Styela clava: one gene and its partner. The protein of the gene in region 2 purifies or fractionates together with the protein of the main gene of each other region. This does not show direct contact. Links are inferred from orthologs where the notes say so. Each region holds a gene or a part of one and is shown on either strand. Other genes may lie near its edges.

Region 1 (11,516 bases), on a different chromosome or scaffold from region 2:
TAACGCTTAGCACGATGCGCCACACCGCCGAGCCGATATGATAATCATGTTTAACAATTTCAATCAATCATTTTATTTCTGTTCTCTGACATGAATGAACAGCACAAAAAGTAAACAGACAAACAAAATGCGCAGAGATACCTGGGAGGTGAGCACAACTTTAAACAAAGCTGAAAAGCGTACAAGTAGGTGCCCACCTACCAAAAAAAATCAGAATCTGGTAATACTTTTAACACAATTAGAAAAAATGTAATATTAATGAACCACATGTAACCATCCGATTATGATTTATTGAGAGAACACAAATCTAAATAGGTAAAAAGCTATAGCACACAAATTAAACCAATGACATTAAACAACATGATGCGCAACTCCGGCATTTTTGTCCGAAGATCGTATTCGATAGCACGCTCCAATGCACATACTTGACGAGACGAAAACGAGCGGATGTGTGCTGCTTTCAAGGCGTAGCAGGAATGGTGTTCGTGCCTGCTTTGACAGTTGTTGTCGATTTTAATGATATTTTTAAAAGTTGGGGTAAAAAGAAATCGGTAAAAGGTAAGGTGAATACTATTGTTGTATATCACACCCGGGCATCGCACTGTTAAGTACATGTGGGAAAGCCAGCCTTTGTCAAATACTACGAAGGTATTAATTCAGTACGGTACGTAGTTGCCCATTTGCCGAAATTACATATTTACTTACCCCTTATGGTTTCAAATAGTTCATGCACCTCCAGTTAGATTTTTTTAATCAGTGAAGATATATACTCATTGTTGATTGCTGCTCATTGTAACATACTATTACGCATTCACTTTTATTTGCGTATTGAATCAAAGTGTTAACAAGTTCACCTAACATTTCACTCATACCGGTCTATATTGTATAGTCTGATTTCTCAAGTATTTGGAGCCACGAATGCTTGTAATTTTCTGACTAAACCCTTTTATTAGTTGGTTTATATACCAAATTCAGTAAATTATTTTTTAAATAAAACATGAGATATTGGATTTATTAGCTTTTCCATTCTGAATCATATAGACTGCTTTATTTATTCTTAACGAAAATTAATAAATCTCCTCTCTTTCTTCAGATGTGAAAGTTGTGGACAAACCTGTCTAAGCATTGTGAGACTCTTGCAGCACAAGAGGCAATAGCAGAAATAGTAAGTATATCAATCAAAAAATTAAGCCGACATAAAGCAAAACTTTCAACTATTCGTCTAATCTCAATTTCCTATTATTTATTCACTGGACAACTATAGCAGACGGGGAGATATCAGAAGTCTGCCGACATATCAGTGACAGTGTGATTCCAAGAAATATAATGCAATAGAAAATAGAAATTTGCAATAGAAAAACAACCTATGGAGGCATGCAAAGACATTTGGCCCTCCGGTAGAGTTGTGTATGGCCCCCACATCCTGCAGGGCTTAAGGAAAATAACTAAAAATTCCAAAGCGTAAGATTGCATAAGCGGTCTTATTTGTAAAAAGGCACAAAACACGCCAGACATACTTAAAACAGCTTTGGAAATGAGGATTACGGGTACCTCACTGCACCTGTGTTATATTTGGTTCATCAACTTTTGGTAGTACTATAGAAGAAATTCCGGAAGGGGTATAATCATCATTCATGATAAAATACTATCATATATTTTTTGAACAACTTCAATCTAGACCAGGGATCTCAAACTCGCGGCCCCAGAGAACTTCCAGTGCGGCCCTCGAACGCTTAACAATAATTGTAATAGTATTTTGGAAGTTTTTTTTTTTATCTAAATGTAATAGATTTTTCAAACCTTCTAAAGTGAAATTGATTATTCACACAGAAAACAATTTACTGAAAGTAGTTTTGGAATATTAATTTTTTTGTCCACATTCTGACCCAATTAAGAATACACATCAAGCTAGCAAAAGAATACTTGAATAAAACACTTGAGTAATTAAATTAAACGCAAAGTACATGAAGAAGGTGGCATTTTCGAAGAAAATGGGAGTTGTAACATTTCTGCTCTTCACAAAATTCTGAAGCACATTGTTTAATTTGTCATATTTCCATCAATACAATCAAAAAACACAATAAGCTCAGCAGTCAATATGACAAATTCGAAGACCAACTTCGAACAGAAAATTTCCATGTGTTTGTATATTAATATAATTATACAACGACTTAGTTACTAAAAATCAATATCAATAATAATTCAAGCAATCCTATGCCACGCAATGTAGTGCGAAATGTCTTGTCGAAAAAATCTGTCATTTGTTTTTTTACTGATCTATACATGAAATGATAAACTTTTTTGCATTACTGGAATTAATTAAACATTCGTAAAGATCCAGATAAACCCATGATCATGTGGCCTCGTTAGTTAGAGTTGGTACTATAAAATCATTTCAGACTGGCCTTAGTATGCTGGTGACACAAAAAAGATGCCAAACGCCAGGACAAATGTAATTATTAAAACATTGAGTTTATACTGTAGTATTTTTGTTAATTTTAGGTTCATATATTTAGATTAAATTATTTTTAGTGTATGTATTATTCTTTCCTAATTCAAAGCTTGTTCAAAAATGATTTTGATGGTTGTACATAGAATTTTACGATTTTTTATAATAAATACTGTAACTTGCAAATGTTGCAATAATAGTGGAATGCAAATATTAATATGTAATTGCATTTGAAAATGAAGAAAATAATAAAACTTAATCCAACTGTTTAGTTGCATCACAATATATGTCACAAACTAAAACTATCTTAAAAATATCTTTTAAGTATACATTATCAAAAACTGTTTGCGGCTCTTTTTACAATTTTCAAAATGCAATGCGGCTCTCGAAAAACCATGAGTTTGACACCACTGATCTATTCTAGACGATTCAAGCATTGCTTTGGGAAATTATATCACTTCAATTAAATTGAAATAATCTCGCTATATTAAATACAAAATCGTTGCTATCACAAAGGTAAACCAATTCAGCCACTCGAAATATATTGGCCTTCACAAAGCAATGGAGGCAAAATTAGGAGTTCATGAGCTATGAACATTTGTTCTTTTCTTTGTCTTGAACTTTTCATACTCCACAGCCCCTATTAATTTTTTTTAATTTTAATTACCATGTGATGGTCATACATATCTTTAACTTGTATTTTCTGTCATGATGTATTATCTCAATGTGCCAAACTATTAATTAGTGTGCATATTTTGCTTCCAGATGACATAAATGTATTGTCATGTTTATTACCTCAGCTTGGAGTATTGACAAGAAAAAGGTGCCAGTAAATTAGGTAAAAAAATTTCCAATTCATTGTTATAATCAGAATTCACAATCAATAGGAATTATAAACAGCCAACAATCAGTGAGAATTATATGCGTAATCCCTCAGAATAAATTTGTCTAAAATCGGAGGAAGGCAAAAAATATAGGTAGTTTCCATCCACACAAGCATTTCAAGAAGACTTGCTCGAGCCAAACTAAATGAGCATCGTCAGGTAATCGGTAAGGCTGCAAGTTGAATTCAGCCCTGCAACCTCCTGCATAGAAGATAATATTAATTAGTGGGCTATGAGCTAAATTCCTAAATTTAAACAAACCTATCTACGATGCATTATGTACCAGCAATGTTACCTACGATTAACTGAATATGTAATATGTCTAATAAATTCACCTACAAAAGCAAGTTCGATAGGTGCAAACTTTGTGTTATGGAATTGTATCGCAGCACAGTTTTGTATGACACCCTCTTTAAATGAAATTTCAATGATTAAGCGCATTGAACATTAATTAACAACATTAAAATTACTAACTTTGAACTTTGTCATTATCTGCAAAATGTTCCACACAAATCTTTCCGCTATCGCGTTTGTAATCTTCTCTGATAAAAAAAACGTCTATGATGTCCAGAATTGCTCTTTACAGCTTGCCTGTTATTCCAGCTTTCCAAGTAAGCAAAACTTCTCAGATATAGAGATTATTTTGTTTCGTTACAGGCGCAAAAAGGCAGGTACTACACGTAAAAAAGACGCCGAGTAGCAAAAGCGAGCGGAAAACGGACGCGAAAGGCGACGAGAAATATGTGCATTGGAGCGTATCATGAAATACAATGTTTTGCCTGTAGTCTTATGGAGGGACGTCAGAGTTGCCTATCATGTTGTTTAATGTCATTGATTAAACTAACAATTTAACAAATGCACAAAACAATTTGTAAGTTTTATTCTGCGCGGGACCATGAATTTTTGCCCCGTGTTTTTTGTGCGTGGTCACGACGCCGGGTTTTACTTAAAAATCATCTTAAATGGGAGGAAATCAATTTACCGGCACGTCTGCTTATAACCGGATGTTATCTGGTGAAAACCGGTTGACACCGAGCTTGAACTGGTTCAATTCAATACGATCAGGAACTGTAAATTATATATAAAAATGATTATATACAACTGCTGATTGTATTAGGATACATGTGGATAAACTCAACTTCTGTCTGCCTGTGCACATATTGAATTAATGACACTTAGGTACGGTAGTGGTATGAATTCGTACCGTACGGTACCGGTATTGGTTTGGGTTTTTAATATACTGTTCATATACAGATATAGGTACCGGTACCGTGTATTGAGGGGAATGATATTTAAATTAAAAAATCGAAACATGGAAACAAAAACTTTGTATTTAAAATATAATAATTCGATTCTAAAATCTCAATACGAAAATTCCGTTTGGCATTGGAATTTATTTGGCACAAAAAAAACGGGTTGGACAGGATTGTTTTCGGAGAATACTGCAATACGGTACCAGGCAGGCCGTACCCGTACCGGTACCGGCTTCTTTATGTCCTTAATGTTTTTTGTCTTTACTGAGTTGTTTGAGGTGTTATGGAATTGGTTATTCTACGGGTACTCAATAGGCCGGTCTGGATTTCATGGCCTTTTTGAACGAGAAATCGGGCGTGCAATCAGAAATTCCCGCGTGCAAATAAGAATTCCTGGCGTGCAATTATAGCTCACGACGTGCAAAACAACTGCACTCGCGTGCAACTGACTTTGACATCAGATACCTTTCAATACATCCGCGTAAAATTACCGGTATCGGATAAAAAATACGTTGAATCAGAGAAAAAATGGACGTTTGACCTTTGACCCCAAACATTATTTCTACAGTTTGTCGCTAATTTTGAGAGTGTTTGTGCGACTTTGGATACCGGTACTGTTCAGTACATCCGCGTAAAATTATTGGATAAAAAATACGTTGAACCAGAGCAAAATGGACATACTTTGTCATTAATTTTGGTAGTGTTTTTACGTAGAATTAATGGATAAAAAATACGTCAAATTAGAGCAAAATGGACGTTTGACCTTTGACCCCAAACATTATTTTCATACTTTGTCACTAATTTTGGGAGTGTTTGAGCAACTTTAGATACCGGTACTGTTCAGTACATTCGTGTAAAATTATTGTATGAAAAATACGCTGAATCAGAGCCGTACTTGGCCATTGGTGCGGAGGCGATCTTTTCGTCCATAACTATTCTCACGGGATTCCTATTTCCTATCATTCAACACGATATGGACCTTTCCCCGAGCATCGACTTCCTTGTTTACTTCGTGACATTGGTCAATCAGCAAGATGCAAAAAAGGACGTAACAATGAGAGGAATTTTTCGCGGGTCAAAGGTTGGGGAAAGGTCCATGGTCTTTTTGCTTCGCAATATTTCGATCAGACCAAATCTTGCAAGCTGGTATTTGTCGACAATTGTGGAGGTATAATATTTTGGCATCTTTATATTACTGGATTATTGATTTTAAAACCATTTAAACCGATTTACATTGGTGAGCAATTGCAAATTTTCGGCGTGCAAAATTGATTTCGCTCGCGTGCATTTTTGCGGAGCGCTAGCGCCCTCGGGCGTGCACCTGCCATGGAATCCAGTCTGGTAATAGGTACATGAAGACATGTATTTTAATAGTGATAGTACCGTCTGACCGTGGTCTGGCGCAGTTTCTTATCCCCAAGATTATCTAGTGGAGTAGTGGGCGTAGCATAACAATTTTTGCAAATGTCAATCCTAACCCCACCTGACTGCATCATTCAAAAATTGGGTCTCGTGTAGTTACGTACCTAACGTACTTCTAGTAGGCGTAGCATAACAATTTTTTGACATGCCAATCCTAACCCCCACCTGACTACGCCATCCAAAAATTATGTCACTACGACGTCACAGTGACATAATGTAGCCCTTCAAACTATACGACCTGTCATCCAAGACGCGCAGACGAGCACCCGAAATCGAACAGCTATTTCTCTCGTTTTCTCGTCGCAACGATCCCAATAGGAGAAAGATTGCTAGCGTTAGCAAGTTCGTTATCGTCGGCGCCGATGCCATTTCGGGCGATTGTACTTATATTTGGCAAGCTCTATGACGTGATTGTGATGTCCTAATGACGTAATTTTAGAATGACGTAGTCGGGTGGGGGTTAGGATTGACACGTCAAAAAACTGTCATGCTACGCCCACTAGAAGTACGTTAGATACGAAACTACACGAGACCCAAAGTACGTTAGGTACGAAACTACACGAGACCCAAAGTACGTTAGGTACGAAACTACACGAGACCCAAAGTACGTTAGGTACGAAACTACACGAGACCCAAAGTACGTTAGGTACGAAACTACACGAGGTCGAGACCCAAAGTACGTTAGGTACGAAACTACACGAGACCCAAAGTACGTTAGGTACGAAACTACACGAGACCCAAAGTACGTTAGGTACGAAACTACACGAGACCCGGAATAACAAGCTGAGCCTACTGAAAGTACTTTTAGTAATAAACTATACCTGACCCAAAATTCCTCCCAGGCTGTAGTAGGGAATACAGTAATTCCACTCTATTTTGGAAATGCTGAACGAGAGACAAATAGAGTGTCTGTTTCATTGAACCAATTTTTGGAACGTCTCGGAATTGAGAGACTGTGACCGTCTGCATATTGCATTAGCCAAAATATGAAAGCACATTTTGTTTATGAGTTCTCTGCCCAATTTGAAAATTTTTTTTTTCATTATTTGTTAATTTTATGCGGCTGCATGCTAATATTCACGTTTTAAAATCCAGTCGAGGTGTTCGATAAATGATCAAGAAAGCTCAATTTCATGTGTTGTTTGTGCCTATTATTACTCTGATGACTGATTAGAAGTTTCGAAATTAGTAATTGTATCATTTATTAACAGTTGGGGTTACATGATGGGTTACATGAAACTAACTACCTTACCTTGCTCTATGCCTTTGCGCAGGTGGATCCGAATGCGTATAATGCAAGGATTGTAACACAAGTCATTGCATACTATATCTTTTTCTTCTTTGTAAGTTGCCTAATATTCGGTGATGCGTAGGACAATTAACATGACTTCGCGAAGAATGTGGATACCTCTTGCTTTACTGATCATACTTGGATTTGCTATATTGGAATTACAACTCTTAAAAGTAAAAAGCAATGGGATTTATTCTTCAAAAACCGTTGTACGAGATTTCGCAAAAACTAGTGAAGAGGAAAAACACACATTTATGGACGATAGCTCGACTGTTGTGTTATACAATCGAGTTCCGAAAACTGGAAGCACGACTTTTACGAATTTTGTTTATGACTCTTGTAAAAGGAATGGGATTTATGTTCTGCATATAAACACTACTAAAAACAGTCATATAATGTCCGTACAGGACCAATATAAACTTATTCAAAATATAACGGATTGGAGGGAGTACAGGCCAGTGTTTTTTCATGGGCATATGGCCTATCTTGATTTTAAACGATTTGGCAGTCCGGTGACACCCATTTATATCAACATAATTAGGGACCCTTTGGATAGACTTGTATCGTATTATTACTTTTTACGGTATGGTGACGATTACCGTAAAGGACTTAAAAGAGCAAGACAGGGTGATGATACTACTTTTGACGAGTGTGTGAAAAAGGGACGCCGAAATAGCGATTGTTCAGTTGAAAAATTATGGCTTCAAATCCCGTTTTTTTGCGGGCAGTCTGCGGATTGTTGGGATGTTGGAAATGAATGGGCATTACAAGAAGCTAAAAGGAATCTAGCGAATAATTATTTGCTTGTCGGCTTAACTGAAAACATGGAAGATTTCGTCGTAGTATTGGAAGCAGTTCTGCCTCGAATGTTCAGGGGGATGACAAACAATTTTAGAGAGGGGTCCCAATCCCATATCAGGAACACATTACATAAAGTACCCCCTAACGAGGAAACTTTGAACAAATTTCACAGTTCTAAAATTTGGAAAATGGAAATGGAATTGTATAACTTTGCTAAGAATCACTTTGAATTCATTAAAAAACAGTCAACCGTTTTAAGCAAAAATGTACTGAAACCTGCCCCAAAGAGATTCCGATATGAGAAAATATACGGACCGGAGGGTATGATATCGAACTAAAACCAAATTTAAAGGCTTTCTCCCTTAAGGTAGAAACTTGAAAAATTTTGGAACATCAGAAAAATAATTTTTGAGTTTTATAACTCCTGTAGCATTTTATTGAAATACTTTGGTGAACATTGCTTCAAACCAGCTCGAAGAGCACCTATTTTTTTGTAATATTTTCAAATGAAACTTTTTTTAGAAATTTAAATGTTCGCCTTTTTGTCTTGAAAACTTAGAAGTATTATCAGAATAAGAATGCGACTCTCATCAAATGAATAGAACAATGGTTTCAAAATATTTATGAGCTATTTTAAAGACTCTAAACTACACCCTAGTCCAAGGTTGTGGGCTCCGCGGGCCACAAAATTATTTTTGCATTGGTCGCGGGCCACAATAGTACCAAGAATAGGTAAACAGTGTAGTACAAAACAAGCACTTCTATTGTGTAAACACATAGTTATCAGGCATTACCAACCTAGGCTAATGGAATCCGCATTCGATGTTTAGTTTTCTATCATGCCTATATTGTTAGCATATATTCCCGACCAAAACGATAGAAATCCATGTAATAATTTAGATTGCCCATCACATCTTAAACTTCGCTAGTTGCTTCAGCTAGCCATCATACTAGTCAATTCAGTCACAGTAGTGATAAAACAACAATATGCCAAACGATTTTTCTGATTTATTTTACGAAAAGCAATTTAAAATACGATATTTTGATTACTCTCCGAATGCGACGCAAGCCACTGGGTTTAGACCACCCTGCTCTAAACCAAGAGTGTGCAACGTGTTTTGTCTGTTGGTTATATAATTTCAGACATCTAGATCGCCCAAACAAAATAAAATTTCCCCATGTAGCCCACGAATTAGTGACAACCAGAGCGTCGCGGGAAAAGACAATGCCCTAAAATATAACCAATTTAAATTATTGTAAATTATAATTTTGCTAATACGTATACACACATTACCGGTACTATTTTGTTTACTAAAGCTATGGTTCAATTTATTATTACTTATCAATCTTTAGATCGGTAAGTATGTTGATAGGTATTTGTCTGTTTGTCCGTCTGTTAAATGCATGTGATATCTCACGAAGGCGTGGTTGAATCTGCTCCAAATTTTGCATGTGCATTCATCATATTTCGGATCAGAAACCTATTGATTTTGGATGAATTATGTCGTATAATTAGCGAGTTATTAATTAATTAGTGATGGGACACGCGCTGCTCAACCTTTTTTCTTTCGTGGCCCACTTAATTGTATAACAATTCTGTGGCTAACTAACTTTCTCATGCAAGGAAAAAACTACAAGAAAACAAGACTCTTTTCGTAAAAATAATTACTTTCATTTCAATAATTAGAATGAAAAGCAGCAACATCATTCATTGCTACTAGAATAAAAATTTGACTATAATGACACAAATGAAACTCTTCAATAACCATAGTAATTTCTATTAGGCTTGTGGCCCATTTGAAAATGTCTCTGGTTGAGAACCAGTGTTATTCGTATAAGTAATCAGGATATTTATGGGTTCCGTTTTTATGTCAGCTAGTACTATTGATCAGTATAAAGAATTACCCTGCATGTTTTCTTTGATCACAATTCCTTATCAATATAATACATCATGGCAAGGTCTGCTATTCAATAAATAAATCAATAACTACTTAGCACTAGAAAGTGAAACCACTTTAAGTAACCACAAAAATGTGTGTTGCTAATTTAAATACATTTTAACACCATTTTTTTGTAGTTGTTTTATATGATTACGTTAGTTCCACTTCATACTTTCTATTTTTGTTACTTGGGTAGCTGAAGGAATTTTTAATTTAAATCAGCATGTTTCTTTTCACTATTGAATCTTTGACAAATGAAAATATTCTAATATTTCTTAAAATCATGCATTTACTTTATCAAATATATCGTATACCATCGCATATAAGCCAAGTTTAAAACTACAAAAAGTTACCAAATTAAGGGCTTATACGGGCTTAACTCAGATAACACTAAAGGGTTTGACAGTGATTAGGATTTGTAGGTTAGGCTTATATGCAAATTTTTATAAATCCACTTTTTTAGAGCTGGTTTAGGGAGTCTTCTTATGTGCGAGGATACACTGAGTCCGATTTTGATACATTTGAATATTCCGCCTGATTTAAACATCGCTAAATTGGAATTGGTATGGCGTACATGCAAAACGAGATAACAGGATATGATAACAGTTATGCTAGCATGTCATGCATGTCTCAATGATTCTCACTGATAGTTAAGTCGTATCTTCTATTCTTGAGTGCTTTTCAGCCAATATCGGCCATTTGATATCATTGAAAAACAAGTTTTTTCGCAAAACATTGCACTTCGTTGGCAGTACACATTTTGGTGCATCACTCTGATTTAGATGATGAGAATCGGATCTGTTCTGGACGGAAGTAGAGACTGCCAAATTCTAAAGCTTATCATCTTTTATATATGCTATGATATTATGTACTGGAAGATTGCTTGACCCCTCGACGTCGTAGGGTGGTTCACGTAACCGCTGGTCGGTTACCGCTTCCTCCGCCACCAAGTCCATGATTCCGAAAACAAATAACTGGCTAATCCCATACTCGACCAAAGCGTATATATAATATAAGCGAGGCAACGCTAAGACAATGGACGCCATTTTGTGCCTATTGTTCTCGGCAGTTTAACACGGCGCCTTATGAGAAGTTCCAACACAATTATTAAAACATACCTATTATTTTCACTAATATTTTAGGTAGAAAAATTTTGAAGGTCGCGTTTTGAAGTAGAATCTTAGCCGTACATGCTTATATCTTTTCATGTTGGCCAAATTACATTTATAGTACATTAAATTGTCTTTGAAGACAAGTATACCGGTTCCGAATTGCTTCCGAAGTAAATTGGCCATTCCAATCGTCATAATTAACTATTTGACAATGGCGTTTCTTATGACGTCACAGATGAAAAGTTGTATTTATTCGTCGAAATTACCGGCCGACCCAACTTTGCTTCAATGGCCGTTTTTATTTTCTGGTTAACATATTTTGTCTGACAAGCTCCATAATGCCCTACTGCTGAGCTCCAAGCTG
Region 2 (10,443 bases):
ACTACCGAACTTTTTACATATCTTCAGAAACTAAAATACTGTTCCAGTATTAACAATTCGTTATTAGACAATCCTAAACTGTAACTGGCAGCGCTCAATTGTGGCGTTGTAGGATTTAAGATCACAGGGCATTTTGGTGTTGATAATCATTTGTATACATTTCACGTAGCAATAACCAGTCCCGGGTACATTGGCACATAGTCTCTTGATCCCTCATTATTAACCCTGATTCGTCTCGCTTAAAGATTATATCGATCTCAACCGCCAAGAAGTATATTTCGAATCAATTATCGAAGAAAATGCTTTGTCGCTATAGGAAAGTACTCTATCTTGTGGTAGGGAGTGTTGGTATCGTAACTAAATTAGTAAATATATATGAAACACGGCACACTCTTATTCCAAAATGAAGAATCACTATCTAAACAAATTGCTGAGTTTGTTCCAATAGTTTATATAACTTCGGCTCTTAGAACTACAGTGAACGTCAATCATCATCGGTCGTCTCAGGTCTTTACTGACAAAGGGAGAACATTCATGTACGAGTGTCCGTGTATTCAGTTATTGAATATATATTAATAATCGCTTTCAAAACATTTTCCATGGTTGGGCGTTCAAAAAGACTTTTGAGATATTCAATTAAGCATATGATACTTACTAAGCATGATCAATGTTGGTTCCGCTGTGTATCTTCCGCAGCACTCACCAGGACTGCTGACTTTAGGACAGTGGGGGAGGGGGATGGGGCGCGAAACAAAGGGGGCGTAGGCAATTTTTGAGGGGGCGTGAAGCAAATCGATTAAAAATAAAAATATTTGTTAGATTTGATCTCGCCCGCTTTATTTTGGATATTTAAATTTCTTTATTTTGGATATTGGGCGCGAGACTTGACAAAATTTAAAAAAGAAGGCGCTGCTTAAAAAGTTTGAAAGCCACTGCTTAGGCCAACTCACACATCATGTCCGTGAGCCTCGCGTTAATCTAAGATGAAAATTTTTAAATTCAACCATTATGAATTCTAATCCTGTATAGGTCAGCGTGTTTATGCTTTGGTATTGAGATTCGTGTTGTAAAGTGATTTTATTATATTGCCTTTGTACTTAAAAGTAAAAAAATGTAAAATTTTCATCTCTAATCTGCGCCCCGCGCAATCCGTTTTACACAGACGCTCGCGATAGTCAAGGCCGGCCCTGCCAGTCATCATTATGGAAACTTGGAAAGTATAGATTTTCACAAAGTTGAGAAGATTCGCGGCGCCTATGGTTTACTCCAGGTATTATTATCACTAGTCTTCGCGCGCGATGTGCCGTTATTACATTGGCGTGTGAGCATCAATTGACGGTCTTGCAGGAGTTGGCTGTTCCCGATCTGTTCCAGTTTGTTTATTGTGTCACTGACTCTTGCTTCCTGATCGATAAATGAGTGCTATAGTTTATGATATATACAGCGTGACCTGAAAACAGATCCAGGTCAATTGGAATAGATTTTAGAATCTGGAGAGAACTTGTGTTCAAAGCGCCCTAGATTACAGTACTTGAACTTTTAAGTACAATCACACACAATCAGACGTCCGAATGCAAGTAAATTTTTTAATTTTCGTTTATTCAAGTAATTATGAAATTTTTGAGTTTTAATCTTAAAACAAGACGGTATGGTATGGTAGTCTTTATTCATACTATAGTCGATTATCAGACGTAACATTTGTATTATTTTCGAGTGAAGTATTTCGTTTTCAACGAGTTTCCAATTACGAGGTCAGTTTTTTATGACCAGTGTTACGGCAAATACCCGTAATATTGTCCCAGAATTGAGCTTTAAGCAATACGGCTACGATTTGAGTTGTGTCTGTACGTCTTTTTATTAATGGAGAATAAATTTGGTACCACGTGGCATTTGTGGGCGTGTGGAGGGCGTTTCCATAATCCCGATCGTATTACTTTATACCTCAGTTACACCTCGGGCATTTTAATATAACACATCGCCGGGAAATTTTCGGTGGCTTTATGGATTAACAATAGAGCCAAAATCTGGTGATTGCCTTCTGTAGACACTCTTTCAGCCTTTTTCATATGGATTAATAAATGGTATTAACCTAATGACCCCTGGTGTTCCTGGGTCATTTTGACACCCCTCTATAATTTTTTTAATATTTCACCAACCAAAAATGCCAAAGACATCATTAATGTGTCCCTAAAAAGCTTATTTTCGTCGCTTTCCACTAAAACGCGCCCACATTACGTAGCGTAAATGCGTCCGACCATATGCCAGTAAGAAGAGAGAAATTTCAAAAAATTTCGAGAAAAAGTTTCTCACTTTTAACGCTGTGGTCAACACGTGATTGATATGCGAGAGAAAGAGTTTTCCTTTGGACGAGTTTTACGCCACCTTCATAATAAAACAAAAGTGGGATTTGTAAGTGAAGTGATATTCGTTTTATCGAAGAGCAATTGATCGCGTGCTGTCTGGTATCTTTGTTTGTTTATTATGAGCCGGAGAACGTTGCTTGCGCGTTCAAAATACTTCGTTTTCAACTAACAACAAATATTTGGTTATTTTTAAGCTTTGAAATACTCATACAAATAAATTTGACCTTGTTGCAAAATAAAAATTATACATAAAAAAAATATGATGACGTCACCGTAATTGAGAACACTCGGATCAAGCATGGATAATTTAAACTCGAACATTTTGAGTTTTGAAATTGGTTTTGTTCACATGCAGACCCCTATGAAATACTGTTGACCCCCCAAAATAGATTTAATTTAGCCATAATCCCAAATTATGACACAGATCTGCCATTTATGACCGGGCCGAAACCCTAGGGTTAATAGTGTGGATGAATTCCTCATTTATCCCCGACGCATTAGCCACATTCGGCGTCAGTCTTAATTCGTCGTTCGTCAGCAGGGCTGGTTAAGCGGAAGCCGTGGCGTACAAAAATAAAATATACCCTTTTAAGATTATAAATTCATTTTTTTAATTTCATTTATAATATTAATATTGAAAAAGAAAAGTAGATTTGCGTATTTGAAAATGTAAAGATTGATTTTAAGGTATATATGAAACCCAAGGTCGTAACCAGGAATTTGCAAAGAGCGATTATGAAATTTCTAATTGTTAAGTTAGACGTAGCAGCTAAAGGGTTCATTTCCAAAAATAGGTGGGCTGCCAACCATCGCCAACTGAAACATCTTGCTTCGAGTCCCCCTTCCGTCAAACCTAATTTGGATGAGCGTGTAGAAAAGAGTATCTGAGACCATGAAAAGGAGATTCTCGTTTCTTTTGTATTTCCAGTAATCTTGAGAGGTCTGTGATACTGACATTCTAAAATTAGCGACATACACAGAGGCAAAATTCTTATGCCCAAATGTCGGCGTCTACGTCTATAATTTCAAGAATATATATAAATGTTATTCTTTGTTTGGAAACTTTTTAAAAATGCAATGCAATTTTAAGGTGTGAAACATAGTTTTTTTTGTACGAAACCCCCTCTAAAAAACAACAGTTTTTCTCAAGTCTCACGTTATCGGAATATTGGTGATACTGACATTCTAAAATATTGGTGACTTGACATTCTAAAATTTGCGACATACATAGAGTCAAAATTCACATGCCCAAATGTCTGCGTCTACAACTATAATTGTGAGAATATGTATGTTATTCTTTGTAGGCTGCCGTTGGGAACTCCATGTATCTTCTTAGCTTTACAACAATCGAACTCCCCCCAATTGTTTCCGGCGCGGAAACGCCTGAAAAATGATTTGTGATGACAAGTCGTGATGTTCGTTGAAGCCGGCTTGTCAAACTGCTGCGCTCCCGACAAAAATAGTCTGGTGTGAACCACGGCGAAGTTGGATTCATGACTGTTGTTTTTTATGGAAGTTCGTTCGGTTTGGATTAATTTGTTCGGTTATGATGTATTTTAGATTAGAAATGTAAATATGAGTCGAATTCATTTTTCATAGACGTAAAATATGTTATATAAAGTGAATTGTCGTTTTAAAGTATTCTTTCTTGTTCTTCATTTATGGTTAATTTTACGAAAATACGAAGTTTTTGATTGTTGCGTCCTAAAATAAATATTTGGAAAGCATTTACTCTAGATCTAGAATAATAACGCAGAAATGTATTATAGGAAATATAGCCTATGAAAGACAATTAATTGGTTTTCATATGTTTCAATTTATCATAGGTTCTGCCTTTCAAAAATCAAGTAATATAAGTTGGATTTGATTCAAGAGTCTTGCTGCACAACAACACAGTTGTGCCAATCCATTCTTGACACAGCATTCTTACTGTGTCCACTTGTGCAAAAGCATAAAGTGAGAAAAGGTGGATATAAATTGGATGTGTAGAATACAAATAATTACGGGGACTGGCAATCTGCAACCGGTTAGGCTATTATACAGGATGCCCATTAAGTCTCTCTACAGTTTCAATTTTGTTATGAAGCCATTCTCAATATATATATCTTAATGGTTTGTTGTATTTTAATCAGTAGTTATTCAAGTATTTTTACTTTATCTAATACATCTGTGAGGGCCAAAATAATATATGGTATCGATAAATTCCCTCTGCAATTTTAAAACATTTTAAGACTATATGGAAACCCTATATTACATATATAGGTAGTATGTGCACATCGACATTCTCTGTGCTTATTGAAGTTTAAAACAAAGGCTTGTGGTAATTGTTAAGCGAGGAAAGTTATTTCCTTGATCAAACCAATGAGCAAACAGAATCGAAAGTGTGTCGCAACCTGTCACCTTAAATTAAAAATTCAAATCAGATCAGTTCGCAAATCGTTTGAAGAGTTGGGATTCAGCATTTCCCAATCACGTGGAAGATTTTGCAATCTAGTAGTGAATAATACTTCACCAATGAGTAAAGTTATCGAAGTTGCAAATCGTATATGTGCCGCGTTCGTGAAACACCATTAATAAAAGTACCAAGTATGTACCTTATTTGGGCAGCTAAGGGCCTGTTATACCAGTCCGACAATTTCACTGCGGTAAGCATATTTCGCAATGTGTGTATTTCGTATTTATTGGAGGACAAACAACCTGAGTACACATACAGTTAAGTGCCTTTGTTTAATATCATGAAAAGTTCGTAGCGTGAGACAAAAAGCAGCAGATAAGGCGAAAAGGTGGTGGCCTCGTGTATCCGCTAACAGTATTGAGGTTTATAAGGTCTAAAATTACCATTCGAAGCATATGGGCAGTTTTCACCGTTATGTAATAAAATTTTGACAATATGATAATATTTTTGCACATTGATATTCAGATTTACAAATCTTTTTAATGTTCAAGAGTACGTCTGACGGGTTTTGTGAAATTTGCAAACGAGCGAGAGTAAAGAAAAACTAGCGATAGAAAACGCGCAGTACCGTACACGTGTATTTGAGTAACCTGATTTAGTAATTATTTTCTCATTTCAAATTTACGTTCTTTCATCTGTGACATCATAATAATATAAGGCTTTGGTGTTGTTCGTAGCATTTATTCATCTCTTTCAGTAATTAGTAATGTTAGAGTAACAAGTTTTTATTTGTTCATTATTTATTTTTTGTATTTTATTTATTATGGACGTAGAAATAGGAAAGCCAGAAGCGCTAGGGATTATATTAATATTTGAATATAACTAATAACTGAAATCAAAATGGAAGTGTGTTCTAATTTTGCTCGTGCTATTACCCGCAAGAAGCATATTGATGAAGGAACAATGAATGAGTCGAAGCTGAGAAGGATTCTAAATACTTTTGATATAACTGCTCTTGGTGTTGGATCGACTCTGGGTGAGTTTTTTTTTACGAGTTTGTGTGAAAAATTGATCATTTTTATTAAAGTTTTTTTTATAATTTATTAAGTTTATTATAATTTTAAAATTATAATCTGTTCCTATCAATCGATTTTCTCTGTGATCAATTCTTATATTTGATGATTCCCGGGCGTTTTATTTTTTGCGCCATAGTAATCCACTCATAAATGAACCGAAAAAATAAAATCTCCCTTATTGTGTTAAAGTTAATATTTCGAAATAAACATTTTACAAATGCGTGATCTTAAAAATTAACCTTTAATTAAAAAATGCCCCAAAGGGTTGTAAGAGATGCAGCGTTATTCCTATCTTAACGTTTGTCGTTGCAGGTGCGGGAGTCTACGTACTGACAGGGGCCGTTGCAAAGAATACCAGTGGACCAAGCGTTGTTATTGCATTTCTCATCGCAGCATTGACTTCAGTACTATCTGGTAAGTTAAAAGTCCGGGCCGCGGTCTATATGGCAGTTTATTAGGTACTCCTGAAGTATGGGTACCAAGGTGGCGGACACCATATGTGTACCAAATTGGGGTTAGGCCCTAATTTTATTCCAATTTTCCTTATTTTCGTTCTATACTAGTTCGGGGACTAGCCAAGTGACTCCCGCAGTATTTGTACCTAGAATTATCGTTCGTTCAAAAATCGTTCCAACATTTCGAGAAATGTAAAATTAAAAGTATAATTGATCAATCAAATACGCCGTATTTTAAAGATACTGAAATCAATTCTACTCAAATATACGATTGATATTCTTGCTGCGATAACGTAGAAAAACTAATATAATATTCATAGTTATTGGTGGCATTTTGAAATATTGATATGAAAGTCCTACAATTGTCGGCAAAGGCAGGGATGTGGAGTCAGGAGTCCAGTTTTAAACATTTTATTTTAAAACCGGAATCGGATTGATATTTTCGAACTTTTGGGTGTCCGGAATCAGAGTTACAGGTACAGTGGTAATCGAATCAATTTTACACAGAAACTAAAAAAATAACTTAACTGCCTATCAAAGACGGTTTGCATGTGTTTAGAACACATTTTTTTTCTGGTATTTCGATGCTGGTGTTGAGTCATGCGCCGGAGTCAAATTTTTAATCATCCCGGAGTTGGAGTCGACTGTTAATTTTTCCCCGACCATGCAGCCCAGAGCAACAACTTAATTTTTTCGTTTTAAGCCACGGGGGAATTAAATATCCTCTTCTCTCACATGCCCCGAAGAAACGTTTAGTTACTTATTGAGATTTTATCGCCAATATGAGGTCAGATATCGATCATAATATAAATTTTATCAGTCTGTCGTGCCTTATCTCAGTAAAGGAGATTATTAACGGATGTTCAATTTAGGGCAGTATTTTGTACCTGGCGGTCCTGTCGTTTACTCATATTAATGCTGATAGTGTATAGAACGAGAGCGACTTATCAAGCTAGCATGTTCATATCTGAATACAACGGACTTGCTCGATTAAAACAAAATCCATAAATTTCTTATTAATTCTACGAAAACGGAAGAACATTTTCTTTAACACTTAAACTTTTGGCGCTCCAGAAGTATGTGTACCAATACAGAGGTGGTAACTTATTTCGCCTACTTTACATCAAGTTGTGTGAAGGGACGGAAGCGTATGGGCAGGGGATATATTTACTTGGCTAACACAGACAGTCCCCGAACTCGTAATATAACTAAAATAAGGAAAATCGGAATCAAATTGTGGCCTAACCCTAACTTGGTACACAAATTCTATAAAGAATTATGGCCGTGAATATCCCGTTGGCAAAGACCGATTGACGCAACACTTGAAGAGGTAGTTAAGGTCATTACGACAAAGAAAACTTTATTATCCCCGTTTACGAGTACTCAATTTTTATATCGAGGGTATAAAAGTAAGATTATTTCGACATAAGAACCTCAATTCTCATGCACGACAATCTACCAATAAAAATATTTATCAGAGTGGAGACTCCGAGTGAGAACTGTTGATTCTGCCCGTCTTAAAGCAAAAATATTTTTCCGCGTGTAAATAATCTATAATTCTGCCAGGATTTTTGCAGTCCCCAATGTCGTCAACCTGGCGGTTTACGAACATTTGACATACAATTTTACAACCTTTCCATATTTAACGATAAAATAGATAAACTACAGAATCGCATAAAAATGGATGGTTTTTAGTGACCCTCAGGTCACTATAACTATCGCCAACGCTAATGGGCATTCTAGTAGCGCAATGCAAATGAATGAATAATTTATCACGGTGACACCAACGGATCCTGGAATATATGATTTCCTTAACCACAATCCCCGCAATAGTATACTAATGCATAATGTTCCGTATCAAATTTATTATAAACTAATTTAAACTGAAAAATTTACGTAAAACTAATTCAAGAATTTTATGCCAAGACAGTGCGATTGTTTTGAAATTTTCATTACAACCTTTTTTCTTGAATAAGTCGTTAGAATTTACTTAGAATCTTTTTATTGAGAGAATAAAAATATACATTTGAAGTCGCTGATTCATAACCCGCTTTGTTTTCCGGTGCCCATCCTCGTAAAACGGTGTGCATCCTCTATTCTCGTTATCTGTGTAAGATTGATTTTTGCTTGTTGGAGAAAAGAAGTAGAGTTAACTTGATGCAATTCGAGTGGTCGAATGGTAATCGCTGATAAATATGATTTATGCTTATGATTTACATATTTATCCCGGGGGAGAGGAAAGCCGATAAGACGGCTTATCCATATGGCGAACCACGGCCTCTCGTCCGGTTACCATTCCAAGCCGGTTATGGGATTAGTTTTTACTGTATTGTTTGTTTTCGGAAGCATGGACTTGGTGGTGGAGGAAGCCGTAACCGACCAGCGGTTACGTGAACCACCCAACGACGGCGAGGAGTCCAGCAATCCTCTCGCACATAACCATCCCTACATGGGATTCGAACCTGCGAACCCACGCAGAGTAATTAGAGGTGCGGTGGCGAGCGTATTCCTAACGCTTAGCCCGTTGAGCCACACCGCCGCGCAAATTACGTAACAGATGAAATATTTGTAAATTTGAACGTGAATTATATATTCTTGCAAGTGATACTCACTGGATAAGTATATTTAATGGTGGATTTGCAGTTATGCGTACAATATATTTAAATAAATTTAACTTGAAGCCAATTTACATCCAATTCTCAAAGCGACGAAGCACCCATGTGCGAAGTGTCATACAACCATTCATGTCTTGTTGTGCAGATGAGTGCATTTCATAGAATCTTTATTAGAACAATAGGGCGAGTCCTTAGCTGGTCATTCAAACAATGTTTGAAAGCAAATTGTCAATGATTAACAGCGACTATACTAAATCAATCAACGTCCGGTAGCGCCTAAAAGTAACAGAATGATTTTTAACCAAGGAGTAAGCAAAATTTGCGCAAATATTGTTTCAGTAAATAAAGAGTGCAAAGTTTGTTGGTCGAATTGGTAGCGAATCTAACAAATACTATAGGTTGCGTGCAATTATTGCCGATACACAACGTTTGCGAACCAACCGCGTATGACGTATTCATTCATCCAGGTCAAAATGCACGTTTTAATAGGGTGGTTTACTGGGTTTGTTACCGCGTTGTATTCAACTCTGGTTTGAAGCCCATGCCCGTCACTACCCGTGGTGTAATGACTTGGGTAGGCAATGCCGACGACACCCTGTATTCTCAGCCTATCATCCATGCAAGTTCTAACCTAACTCGGCGTTGCTTAATTCCTGAGACAAGATCATAAGAGATTTTGGTTTCACTCGTCATGCAATTTTGCATGAAAATTTGGAGCTCCACCAAGATGGCGCACATCCTGAACATAGTATGTGTACCAGGTTAGGGTTCAGGTTATGCGCCATCTCGGTACACATACCTCGGGAACGCCGAAAATGTAATATGAAATAGCTTGTAATAAATACATGGAATTATATTTACGGCGTTTTTGAACAATGCTCTGCGTTAGAAGCTATTGTAAGGGGATGGCGTAAATGGTTTTTTATCCCAATATTTTTAACATGCAATTCCAACATAGTCCAGTCCAACGCTTCAACCCCTAACGCCGGCCCATCGCGCAATATCTGAGTTCGTCAGAACGGGGTCACGGTATATCAAATATCACAACACAATAAAAATATTTATAATATTGGAACAATAGATTATTCTATTTCTATTTCACAGGTTTATGTTATGCCGAGTTTGGAGCACGCGTACCCAAAGCTGGATCAGGATACGTTTACAGCTATGTTACAGTCGGCGAATTATGTGCCTTCGTCATTGGGTGGAACCTCATTCTCTCTTACGTGATTGGTGAGTATTATTATTGCACCATCATAATAGCCAATCAAATGCGACTTTGGGTCGAACTTGGGCGTGACTTCTATCCAATGTTCGAACCTCATCTTCCGAATTTTCAGCTTTTGACTCGTGTATAGCGGATGGGATTTTGCGAAACACCTAGACCGTACGATAGTACCCCCTTGTCTCAGTTTAAGGGGCGTTAACGCCGATTGTCAACGGTTAATTTTGATTGGATGTTATGGCTTTGGATAAAAATAGGCCATTGTATGATATGTAAGGGTACTCGAAAGTCCTCTAAAGAGGCGACAATGCACA

The links. The genes of interacting proteins can lie anywhere in the genome.
Region 1: the proteins of high affinity cationic amino acid transporter 1-like (region 2) and heparan sulfate 2-O-sulfotransferase 1-like purify together in Homo sapiens (co-immunoprecipitation; 3 studies listed by BioGRID and IntAct, counting the BioPlex papers as one, with this or other methods). This does not show direct contact. The link is inferred for Styela clava from reciprocal best matches to the Homo sapiens genes SLC7A1 and HS2ST1.

The regions. Positions count from the first base shown.
Region 1 is NC_135251.1:7,463,336-7,474,851, forward strand, and holds the start of heparan sulfate 2-O-sulfotransferase 1-like, read left to right. Parts: upstream 1-7,075; 5' UTR 7,076-7,373; coding exon 7,374-8,438; 3' UTR 8,439-11,516. UniProt on the Homo sapiens protein: Catalyzes the transfer of a sulfo group from 3'-phospho-5'-adenylyl sulfate (PAPS) to the 2-OH position of iduronic acid (IdoA) or glucuronic acid (GlcA) within the heparan sulfate (HS) chain and participates in HS biosynthesis.
Region 2 is NC_135250.1:26,196,001-26,206,443, reverse strand, and holds the start of high affinity cationic amino acid transporter 1-like, read left to right. Parts: upstream 1-5,526; 5' UTR 5,527-5,658; coding exon 5,659-5,794; intron 5,795-6,146; coding exon 6,147-6,248; intron 6,249-10,008; coding exon 10,009-10,137; intron 10,138-10,443. UniProt on the Homo sapiens protein: High-affinity, low capacity permease involved in the transport of the cationic amino acids (arginine, lysine and ornithine) in non-hepatic tissues.